Drosophila melanogaster: one gene and its partner. Changing the gene in region 1 together with any one later gene gives a genetic interaction. Each region holds a gene or a part of one and is shown on either strand. Other genes may lie near its edges.

Evidence for each region. A genetic interaction does not mean that the proteins touch.
Region 2: of DNaseII (region 1) and eya, changing one suppresses a phenotype caused by changing the other (phenotypic suppression), as found in Drosophila melanogaster (one study listed by BioGRID).

What each region holds. Positions count from the first base shown.
Region 1 is NT_033777.3:18,017,043-18,022,483, reverse strand, and holds DNaseII (deoxyribonuclease II), read right to left. Parts: upstream 3,110-5,441; 5' UTR 3,072-3,109; coding exon 2,968-3,071; intron 2,409-2,967; coding exon 1,412-2,408; 3' UTR 1,323-1,411; downstream 1-1,322. Other genes in the region: CG7785 (uncharacterized protein), read right to left, coding at 1-378, 665-770.
Region 2 is NT_033779.5:6,531,933-6,538,522, forward strand, and holds the start of eya (eyes absent), read right to left. Parts: upstream 4,180-6,590; 5' UTR 3,969-4,179; coding exon 3,897-3,968; intron 1,021-3,896; coding exon 974-1,020; intron 1-973. UniProt on the Drosophila melanogaster protein: Tyrosine phosphatase thought to play a role in transcription regulation during organogenesis through its intrinsic protein phosphatase activity. The phosphatase activity was shown in vitro. Appears to function together with So and Dac in eye development.

The DNA of each region.
Region 1 (5,441 bases):
CAGTGGTCATCAGCAGATCTTCCTGCTGCAAATCCTCGATGGCAATGAGTCCGGCCGCTTTGGCAGCGCTATTGTTCAGGATACCATTGCTCGTCCTCGCTGGCTGAGTGGTGCAAGCAGACTGCACCACTGGTCGGAACTCCTCGCGGTCATTGTGGCGTGTGGCATTATCGGAGCACAGGCACCAGGACTCTCGATCCCCGCCGCCGCTCTTGCGACTGAGATCCGTTTGACGCGTTGCCAAGCCCACCGACCAGCTGCCGCCGTGCTGGATCTTCACCTCGAAGTAGGACTTCGATTGGACCAAAGGCGCCGTGGCCAGGACGCCGCCAGTGCCCGTTACGCGCAGTTGGTGTGACAGCAGGATTACATCAGGTCCTGCCAAATGGATGATATGATATACATATTATTAGTAAGATACAAGATGGTTAAGCCTGTTGAATGAGAATATAAGCACTTCTATTGTATGTACATATATATTAATATCTGATCACGTATCTGAATTGTGCGATAAAATTGGGAATGTTGATATCTTTATTGGGGTATCACTTATTATCGAAGCTACATATCTTTTGGAAAAACACATTAGTTCTCTCGCAATCGCTTCAGTTGACCATTTTAAGGATAGTGTATCTTAATCCTTCTGAATTTAGTGTAATTTTACCCATATGCGCTGCATCCAGGTGAACATCGGGCTCCCGCAGGCGACTGGTTGCCGTCGGTTTCCTTATGTGTCCACCATTGAGACAGGTGCGTAGGCAGCAGAACATTCCCAAATCTATGAAGGTTTTCCGACTCCGAATCTAGTTTTAATTTGGATTTTTAAAAATCGCCAATAATTTTCGCTTCTTCGCTTGGTTTTGTTTTTGTAAACAGCTGTGCTCTTTTTCCAGCTGATGGTCATACTGAATTTGCATTTTCTGGTATATGTGATAATAATGGGTAGAAGAGTGACGGATAGGTGGCGCTATAAATGAATAATTAGATGCAACCAAATGCAATTGACACATTTGTAAATAATTTATACATGTTTGTTGATATTTCAATGTTTTTTTTTTTTGGCAAATAGTTTAGCAACAGCTATAGAATTAAGAAAAGTTTAAGTACGAGCGCCACCTAGTTTTCAATGCGCTTTTTAGTACCTAAAATGTACGACAAGAGTGCGTTGAAGAAATGGCGCTAGCGAGTGTCCGGAAAAGAGCAGAAAGAAAAAGAAAAGAAGTTGCACGGCGCCTTAAATTTAAAATTTAAATTATTATATATTATCTATAACAAATGCAAATAAGTTCTTTGTATAAATAATACCTCTTTTCAACATCTTTCAATTTTCTTATGCATTAAATGTAATGCAAAAATGGTGTTTATTTAATTGTTGACGCAACTTTACAAATAGTCTTAGTTAGTTCAGATTCTATTCCTGTTGGGCGCACTTGTCGTAGTTGGTGACCAGTTGGCGGTACAGATTGGATACCCTGGCGCTCTTGTGGCACACGGTTCCACCACCACGATGCAACTGACCTTCTTGCCGGTTGATGTCGCCCACACAAATCCAATCTCCGCCGCCAACTCGCCAATGGTAGATCAAAATGCCTGTGGGACGAGATACCGCCCACTTGGAGTGATCTTGTGTGGTCTTAAAGTCCACCGATAGCTCCGGATTGGAAATGGATTCCACATTGAGAACCTTATCGGACTTATCGCAGCTATTCGGTAAGTTGCCGGCACCGTCGCGCCACGCCTCCACAAAAAGACTGACATCCAGAGTGGGTGCGACCACATCGGCGTACAGCTCCACATTGGCGCGTCCACTCTTGCCAAACAGCCGGAACTTCTTGCCGTCCAAGCTGCGCACCTCCAAGTCCTTCTGGAACGGTGATTCCGTCCGCCACTGACCATGCAGAGCCCTTTCCAGGCTCGGGAACAGCTCATCGGAGCGAGTGGCCAGCGGGTTGCGTTGATAGTAGAAGTGCGGTTCATTGTACACCAGAATCTGACCAACCTTCTCCAAATCCTCGCCCTTCAGTGTGACGCAGAGCATGCTCTGTGCGTACTGCTCGCCGGATGTGGGATAGCTGTAGTCCGGAATTGTTGGAAATTTGGGCACCGAGTGGACAATCCAAATAGCCGTCTCCCCATCACTGGCCACCACTCCTTTGGCATGACCACCGCTGCTGAAAACCGTGCCATTCGGCTGTTGATCGTTGTAGGCGGCCAGCAGAGTGTGGCTGGGATCGTCGTTCAAGGGGTTAAGGGTCTGGGCAGGCAGCGATAGGGGATCACTAATGAACTTTCCCGACATCTGCCAGGTGTCATAGTTCTGGCTGGTCACGTACAGGTACTTCAAGCCACTGGTGTCCTTGCCCAAATCGTTGTGCTGGTAGTGCTTGGGCAGTTTGTAAAGGTGCCACCTAAAATTATAAAGGAATATTTGAAAAAAAATTATTAAATAAATTAAAAACATGTTTATCTCATCGAGAAAACCCCTCAATCTTTGGAAATTTGTTTTTAAGATATTAAAAAAAAAAAATAATTACCATTTAATCTATTTTTGGAAATGGAAAAGTATTAAAAATGATGTTATTGTTATCAAATTGATTAAGTTTGTTTGTAGCAAACAACTTTGATTTAAATCTCTCATTTTAGGAAACAAAATAACACACTAATTACTTTTTAATTTCTTGTCACACAGTATTGTACAATTATTATCAATTTTTCCGCTTGAACTTGAACTCATCATATTCAATTTGTTTATCGCCTCTTTTAGAATAATCTCAATACAGCAGTGTATATAAATAACTAAAATACGTTGTGTTTGCAAATTGTTAATGATATGCAAACAGCGACTGCAGATAAATGAAAAAGTATGTGAAAGGCCAATATTTATAAGTAACTTTTCTAATAAGCACATTTAGTAATGTTTTAAGAACTAAACTATTTATTGTTTGATCTGTTAATCGAAATACTTACCAATCTACATCGTTTCCAGCTTCATCCTTACAGGAAACCTTAGACTTAGCTTCGTTTTGGTAGAAAAACCAAACGAACAGCAAAACGAAGCACAGAGATCGCATTGTACAACCTTCAAGTTGCTCGGCCGGAAAACAACTAAATAAGTGTCAGTGAATCCAATCCAATCAACGGCTGTGCTCATACAGGGTGTCTCAGTCGCAAATTGAAATCCATCTTAATCTTTTTCGATTTCTTCACCAGGTAAAAACGCTTGAATCGAGTGAAAACTGAGATCCTTGCTGTTTGTCTGTTTTATCTAAAAGTTGGATTTGTAAATATTTGGTCGTGTTTGGGTTTTTAACACAGCCTATCGCCACGTTGTCTGCTATCTGAGGGGTCAGCCACTTATTGCAAAAGATCAGTCGAACAGAGAGGTCGCTGATAAGCCAAGCGCACTAAATGCGGCTACAACGAATATATTATACTCTACTAAATATGTTTGACTTCATTTTTATGGATATTATAAGAAACTACTAAGAATCTTGTCCAATCTGTAACATATTATAAATACTTACCCATTTCACCATCATCACATAAACATCCCATTCATCCCACTGGCGGTGAAAAGAACTCCACTTCTTTACAATTACACAAAACAATTGTTAAAGTTTTTATTTATTATTCGTATTGTATTATTATAATTTGTCGCCTGCTGAAAACTGCAATTTGTTGCTCTTTTCCCCGTTTGCATTGCAGGGCATATCGTTTGTGCTTTCCTCCTCGATCGTGATCGCATGAAAATATTATCGTTATCAAATTGTATAATTTGTCTTGCGGGCGGGCGAGCCCATCTGCTAATATTGAATTATATTGGAAATAAACTGTCTGGTAAATTAATTGAATTCAACTTCGTTAGTTCTTATCGCTGGTGGCTGTCTGTGAAAAAATGGTTCACCTTTCATTCTGTTTCGAATTTCCTCTGATCTGCTTTGATCCGATCTGATATGATATTATCAGATGATATTATGTTTTTTTTTCTTTTTGTTTTGCCAATCGGTTGGTATTGCCATTTAGATTTATATTTAACTTAGGTGTACCGATTTGTTATGTCATTTCTTTGGTTTCGTATGCAACAATACATTTAAACTCACAATACAATATTTTCGCTAAATATTTTTTATGTATTTTTTTTTTTTGTATCAATTTTTTCATAGTTGTTAATAATTTATTAATATTTTGTATGGTTTTTCATTTTTTTGGTTTTTCAAATATATATATAAAGAACAAGGCTGATATTTATATTTATATATATATATATACGAGTTTTGTTTCTGTTTTATGTAAGTTTTATAATAATATTTAGCTATACGTTTTGGTTTTCATTTGCTTGAAAAATCAATTTGTTTTTTACAATATTAGCAAAGATCTTTATTCGATTTGAAAAAAGAAGGTCGTACTTGGTTTCGCGAAAATGTTAAATAAATGAGCCTCAAAATAGACAAATACTTGCCATTTCTTGTATTTTTTTTTTTTTACTTTTAATATCTCAATTAATATTAATCATTATTTTCGTATTATTTACGGATAAAAGTAGACTCAACTGTTGAGTTATGCAAATAAAATTGCATTTCCCGTTAGACTTTCGGCATATTTAATAATTTTATCATTCTCCTTCTTTGTTATTTTTGAAATTTGCTGCGCCTAATTTGCGCCTGCTTTTCATTAATATATATATATATATATATATATATATATAGTGTATATATATGTGTATATATAGTTTTAATCGGGCACGAGTTTGATATGTTTTGACTTGTGTTATCTTCATTTATCTGCCGGTATTTCGATACCTTTCTCTGCCTTGATATTTTCAATATTCAATATCAGTTACCTTTCCTACTTAACCCTCTAAAGATACTATACATATGTCTGTCTGTATAAGATATAGATATGCATAGTATTTAAGTATTACAAATATACAGCGATTTTCTCAGACCTACCAGGTTGAGTACAATGCCATTCTAGTTGACTCTCCCGCAAATGACTCAAAACTTGAAATGGGGAGAGCGATGCATATATGTGGTATTAATATATGTAATTGTATAGTTGGTTTTAATTTTCTTGCAAAAATTGTCACTAATTCAAAATTCGTTTCTTCAAAGGTTTATCGCTTGGTTGTGTGAGATTTGGAACTGAGTGAAACAATAATGGGTTTGTTTAACGAACAAAATATAAAGTTTTATTATGCGTAATTAATACCGTCAATTGAAAAGTTCTAAGTTAAGGCTACACAAATGATATAAGTATATTTATATAAGGGTTTATCATAGAGGTATACCATACATATACATATAAATTACTTAGAAATTAGTATTAAATTGTTGGTAATTTAAATTTTTAGTTTTATTTTTTTTTTTAGGCAAACATAAGGCAATTTCGGAGGCAACTTAAACTAAATAGAAATCAATCAATCAAAGATTTTCGATACACAA
Region 2 (6,590 bases), on another chromosome or scaffold:
CCCATCCCCCCATAAGGCTTGGAAAATATTTAACAATTTTTCATAATTTTAATAGGAAGGTAAATTAAGTGCCCAATTTCCAAAGGAATCTGACACCTTGAGATTCTTTCGCTCGGCTGGAAAGGGGCCACATTTATCTTGCTGGCAGCCACAACAAGAGGGAAAATGGTAAAAGGGGAGCAGCTGGTGAAAGGGGGAAAATCATTTTCCCAGCGCAGAACGACGCGTGCGCCAAATGGAGGGAGGAAACCCAACCCAAACTTTGGCTTTGAGATCTGCTCTCCTCACAATATGGGCTGACCAATGGGAGATTTACGAATATTATAATAGAAATTATCGAAGAGGGAGGTTGAGAGGTCTTTAGCACTAAGCCGCAACTGTTGCCGCCTTTAAGCCTCTTTTAAGTAGTTGGCCCTGCACCGCCTCGTGTCCCTACGATGTCCACCATGCCCCTTGGCAAGTGTTAAGTGCCCTGACACTTTTCGGTTCTTTTTGTTTTTCGGATTTCGGTTTTTGGATTTTGGATTTCGGTCTTGGGTTCGCTTCAGTGTCGCAGCGGAAGCGTGCACCGAATTCCTTGAATTTCTGCCGGGGCATGTGGCAGGTTGTGTGGACCACATGCAAAATGTGCACTTCCCTTCCCTTACGACGATCCGACCATGGCCACTTTTCAATCGAAACCAATTGAAAATGGTGAGCCTCTTGTCAAGTGTTAGGATGTTCTCGCCGTTCTGCTACAAATTGTCTACGCTTACAGAGAGGGAAACCTTTTTCTTCAGGATCCTGGGAAGCAAGTTGGTAAAAGACTCATAATTTAGGTTTCAACCTATAAATATATGCAAACTATTATTTCCCCTATATGTGTTTTAGTTAGAACATATTACACTTTTAAGAAATCTATTTCATAAAAGTACCTAAATTACATGTTTATGAATAAGTATATTTATATATATTTTATTTTATTTGAACCTACCGGTTGCGTTCATGTGTATCCGTGTGGTCTGTCTTGGGACGTTTAACCTGAAAAAAAAGTGAAGAAAATCACATTAAAATATATACTTATACTGAATGTTAATTTTTGTGAATTTTTTGGATTTTCGCCGGCCCTGGAAAGAATTTGTTTATAAACAAGGCGGACGCACTCACACCTCAGCGTCTGGCGTGGAATCGCCCTGCTGAGCTCGGCACTTCCACCGCCTGAAACTCTATTTGGGTTATCCAGTGCGAGTGGCGAAAGAAAACAGCAAATTTTACATAATTCGCAATCGCCATTTGCTGCTGCGCCAAGCGATTTTCGCTGCCCGAGCTTGTGCGTGGGAAAAAGTTTAACTCAACTGTTACTCGGATGTGCGGCGCCATTTGGAGGGGAAGTCGGAAAGGGGGGGGGGGAGGTGGTAGTGCTCGGAAAAGCAGCAGGTGGCAGCGGATTTCGATAAGGATGCAAAATGGCTAGATGGAACAAAGATGACATTTAACTATACAGACTTTCGAGGAAAGATTGTGTCTCTAGGCATACAATAGAACGTCCTTTACATCCACTTACTATGTTTTATATTTATAAAGCTTTGACAATTCAGCTTTTGCCAGAATGATTTTGACAAATGGTCAAAAAAAAACGCCCCTTAAGAAGACATGTATGCAAATCGAACGGAAGCCAGATAAATCGAAGGCGGACTAAGGGGCGCGGCAAGCCCAGGTGCTGGAATTTGTGCGCCTCTCCACCCCTAAAGAAGTCCCTCAAAACAAAAAAAAAAAAAAACAAAAAAAGAAGGGCGGGAAGGGAGCGAAAGCTGAGCGGCTTCGGTTGACAGCTTCTGCCGTCCGGCGAGATGACCACACGCACGCACTGTCCATCATCCGGTGATCTGGTGGGGGGCAGCAGGACGCAGTTTGCTCAGATTTGTCGACGGACCAAGGGAACACGCGCATGCGCAGCGGCGGACAAGCGGACAGATTGCCGAACGGTAGCGTTTCGATGAGCTGCGCATTGGAGTTGCGATCTCGGGTCGCGAATTCTGCAGGATTGCGTGCTGCACGAGCAACCGAATTCGAGTCCGAAGTTGTATGCAAAAGTGAGCTGGTGAGGGGCCAACAAAAAAAAGGGGGGGGGGAAAGGGAAGAGTCAAATGCAACCTTTTACTAAACTAATTTATGGCACAAGCTGACAACGTAAACATTAACACAGACAACACTCGAATCAGTATCTGGGGGGGTTTTGGTTGGGCCGGCTTGGTTGGTTCCAGCTGCGGAAAAGAGTGGGAGATATGTGGTATAAAGACCTGTTTGTGGGCATCTTTAACGAAATTCCTGTGATCGTAATCTCTTTGTCTCTTCTGCTGCTTTAGAAGAAGATTAAAACACACACACTCGGTCACAAAAAGGCAGGCAAACAAAAGACAAGACAAGAAGACGGCGACAAATTTTTTATTAACCCGGCCCTAAGACCCCGAAGACCCCTACAAACCCCTTGAGCCCCCTTGAGTCCCCCTCGAGTCCCCGCGATAAAAATCAAAATAAACAAGAGGAAAATTTGTATCTTCTGGTGGACGAAGTGGAATCGAAGGAAGGGGCTGCTATGGCATGGGACCTATCCCATGCACCTTAACACTTTGGCACGTTAATTACGTTTTGGGCCACGATCGTGGTAGTATAATCAACAATCGCCAAGTGTCAATCGCAGTGGCCATAATCAATATTTCGACTCCTCCACCGCCCCCCCCCCCCCCACACACTCGCACACACGCACACCGATGTGAATTCTCTTTGTCATAAATTACATGCAGCGCGTATTGTCGCAGTTGAATTATGGCGTGTTAATTTTTACGATTACGGCTTAAACTTAATTAAAATGTGATTAATGCCGCTGGACGAATGCCGTAGCCCAGCTCTGGCTTTTGTGGGCCAGGCTCTTTAAATTCCCATAAAGCCGGCACCCAGAGACCCACTAGAGCTGTAATTTATGCTCTATTAATATTTCGCCTTAACCATCCGGCCATCCGGCCACTCCACGTTCGTCACGTTTCCTTCGATCCGACTTTGTCTTAGCCGTAGTTTAGGGACCCATAAAAGCCTGGAGAATGCCGTTCCATTAAATCGTCGGGAAACGAACTTTACGCTAATCTCGGCCAGACTTTGCATCGCAAGCGTGCAGTGAATGAAAAGGCTTTGGTAATTTGATGGGAGAAATGCATCAGCAGCGAATTGGAAAAACGTTTGTCACTATTTCGGCACTTTATTAAGCGTTTTTAATGACCTTTTGGGACTCAACTTGTTTGCTTCATTACCCCACAGCCAAAAGTTAAGCCGATTAATGCGTTGTAATAAAATTTTGGTCAGGTGCCCATAATCTTTATCCCCATTAACGATTTCCCAACAATGAGCAGTCATTAAAGCGCTTTTCTTCGCAGGATGGGTCTATAAAATTGATAATCCTCTGTGAATGAGTAACATTCCATACATTTTCAAGCAACCCAATGAAATTGTATTTCTTCGAGTGTATTTGCACGACTTATTCGCTTAGATTTATGAAATCGAATAGCATCTGAACACGACTTAGTTGTCAAGCTGGACTAGATTTATATATGAAGTGTGCTATGATATCACACCGACCAATAGATCAGCTTAAAGCATCCTAAACTGTTGTTCGTACATATATTAGACTCCATCCAGGCTTGATAAATGAGAGTCGAAGCGTTATCTCGCCATGGAGTTTCACTTTTTGGATACTACTCCCCGACTAGGTGAAGCCCCACAAGGCGCAACCACCAAGGAAGCTACCGCCGTCATCATAGTCATAACACTAGCAATACTAGTAATAGTAATAACCGACGGCACAGCCATCTCAACCACATCACTTTTAAAGCTTCGCGAGGAGAGCACTACGACTATGTGATTACCTTTGGCTCGATCATTTTGTCAATTAATCCGCATCGCGGGGCAGCGTAGTTGTATGGCATTAGGGTGACCATTCTGTGGACTTGCGATTACTTTCACTTGCAACACACACAAAAACACACACGCGTGGCGGGGTAGTGAACTCGACCGTTTCAGGTAGTTAATGTATGGTCGATGTTTTGAAATCGAATATATATTTAGTTATAGCGTTTCAGAACGAACGAAATGTATCTGGTAGGTTTTTTATCTGCGACTTCGGGCGGATCGACCGTTCCCGTAGCGCTCGCTTTGAGTGGCTCGAATCGACTGAACCACCGAAACAGCCGACTTTTGTGGCTCAATGCGACGCCGGCAGCGAAGCGGCAGCGGCGCTGCTTGAGTGGAAATCCCTGGCTCGGATTATTTGGATTCGTATTCGTACCGGCTAAATGTATCTCGGCACTCGAAACGAGTTCGTGTGAGCGGTGCGCACTCGGAGCAGCCTCTCTCGCTCCCTCCGCCGGCCAGAGAATGCGCCTAGACTCCGCCCATTCCCATTCCCCAAATCGAAGGGCCAAGAATATCGCACAGGGGTGGGTCGAAAACCACTTTTCCTCAAAGTTTGTTGTTTCTTTCTCTGTATTATGTTAGTTTTTTTTTTTGGTAAGTATCTCTCGGATGCGGGCGAACAATGCCCATTGTGAATGAGATTTTGCCGCTGGGCGAACGCCAACTGAAAAGTTGGTTTTCCTATGCGCATAAATTAATAAATTAATTCGAAACAACTCCGCCACCATTCGAGCACATAAAACAAATTAATAAGCTAATCAGTTGGAGTTTCTCGGCCTGTTCAATGGTAACCGCCAGCAAATTTAATGGCAATCGTAAAACGCGCAACGCGAATATCGGGTAATTTAAAACGCCTAAAACTTATTGGGTTCGATGGATCCGTAACGCATTAGAGAAGGAGCTCCCAAAAATCGAAATGCTCATGTAAGACGAGCCGAAGTGTGCTGGGCATAATCAAACCGATACGGGACATGGTATATGGAATATGGCAAATGGTATATGGTATATGGGATATCCGATCTGTGGACGGATTAGTGAGTGCCATAAACAAATTGGCATCTAATCAAAATCACAGGGCTATCTCTCCGTCCATGCAGAAGTGAATCACTTCCGATGGTAATTGGGTAGCATAAACATGATGGTTTAGAGCCACTAATGAGCTCGATTAAATGAATTAGAATGCTCAGACAGTATGGCAGCCAATTGATGTTGATTGGGGCAGCTCTGGCAAATTACTGAGCACATAAATTTTAAAGTGTGTTGAAACTTCATCCAAATGAAATTCTAGTAAAAGAGTTAAGCTTTAAGGTAGGCAACTTGTAAAATATCTTTTAAACCTCTCCTGAATATATATTTTACAATTAAACAAACAGTTGTCATAAACCGATAGCGGTTAACATTTTTTATTCTAATAAATATATATTTCATGGCCGTCTCGTATTTATTTATTTATACGTCTCCGTCGAGACGAAACAATTGAATCGTGTGCTAAACAATTCATGTTGATTCAACACTTGATTTTTGGCCCAACAGAGACTGACTTAAAAGCCTGGATGTAATTACAAGTGAGCAAGTGAAACAAGTGCATTTAAGTAAATAGGCGACATGCACACATGCAATAGAATTGCAATGGAATTCCGACAATGAGCCCATTCGATCCCACAACAAATTCAGCCACAAGAAATAACAAAAGTGAAGCTAGAAATTTGATTATGGCATTTTGTTAAGGCTTTCCACAGAGAAAATCGAGCATGACCTCAAAGTGAGGGAGTGCACTTCTTGGTGGATACATTTTGGGTGCAGTGAATCTCCGAGTCGGGCATTAAATTAGCTTTAATCGCTTTAGCACGATCGTGAGACAACATGTCGTCAATTATATCTACGATGATCATGGTGCTCCTCCCTCCACGATAATCCGTCTTCCCTCAGTTTGCCACTCGGAGAGTCTTCTGTAAACAAATCTGCGCACAATTCGCTGCATTTGCAGATATTTCTGCGGCCTGGCTTGTTGCTGAGACTGGCACATTTGTCGTGGACCGGTTGCCGATCGTCGACCATCCACCATCCACCATCCAGCATCCCAGTTTCCCCCTTGAAGCAGCAGATCCCCTCGGAACTGAACGTGCTGATCGTGCGACTGCAAAAGCCTGCTGCACAATGGAGAATCAGGGAGTCGGTGAATCGGAGAATCAGAGAATCGCACGGGGGCAGGGTAGAACTCGAAAGTGTTTAAGATTTACGTTCAGTTTTGATCGGGCTGGACCTCCCCGAGTGTAGTATTAATTTTACACAGCCAAAGGAAGTGGGGGCCACATGGTTTGGGATCGAGAGGCCTGTGTCCGTTCCGCGTTGGGCGCCATTTTAATGCAAAAGTTTTAACACCTGAGTCGAGCACATTTGTTGCCATGTTCGCATTCTTACAACTTGATCTGGGCGACTGTTCGCCGGACATCTAGATAAGGACTTGGATTTGGCTACGCCAGCATTGGGACATTGAATTGCTTGTCCGTTGTCATTTGGTTGGATGCCCAGTGTGGCCTGCCCCTCCACCCCCTTCGCGACGCAGCTCAGGTTCTCCGGTTCAAAAGTCGTCGAGGAATGCGTCATTCGATTGGCGAGCCCACGAATTGGGTCAGTTCTTCCATGCC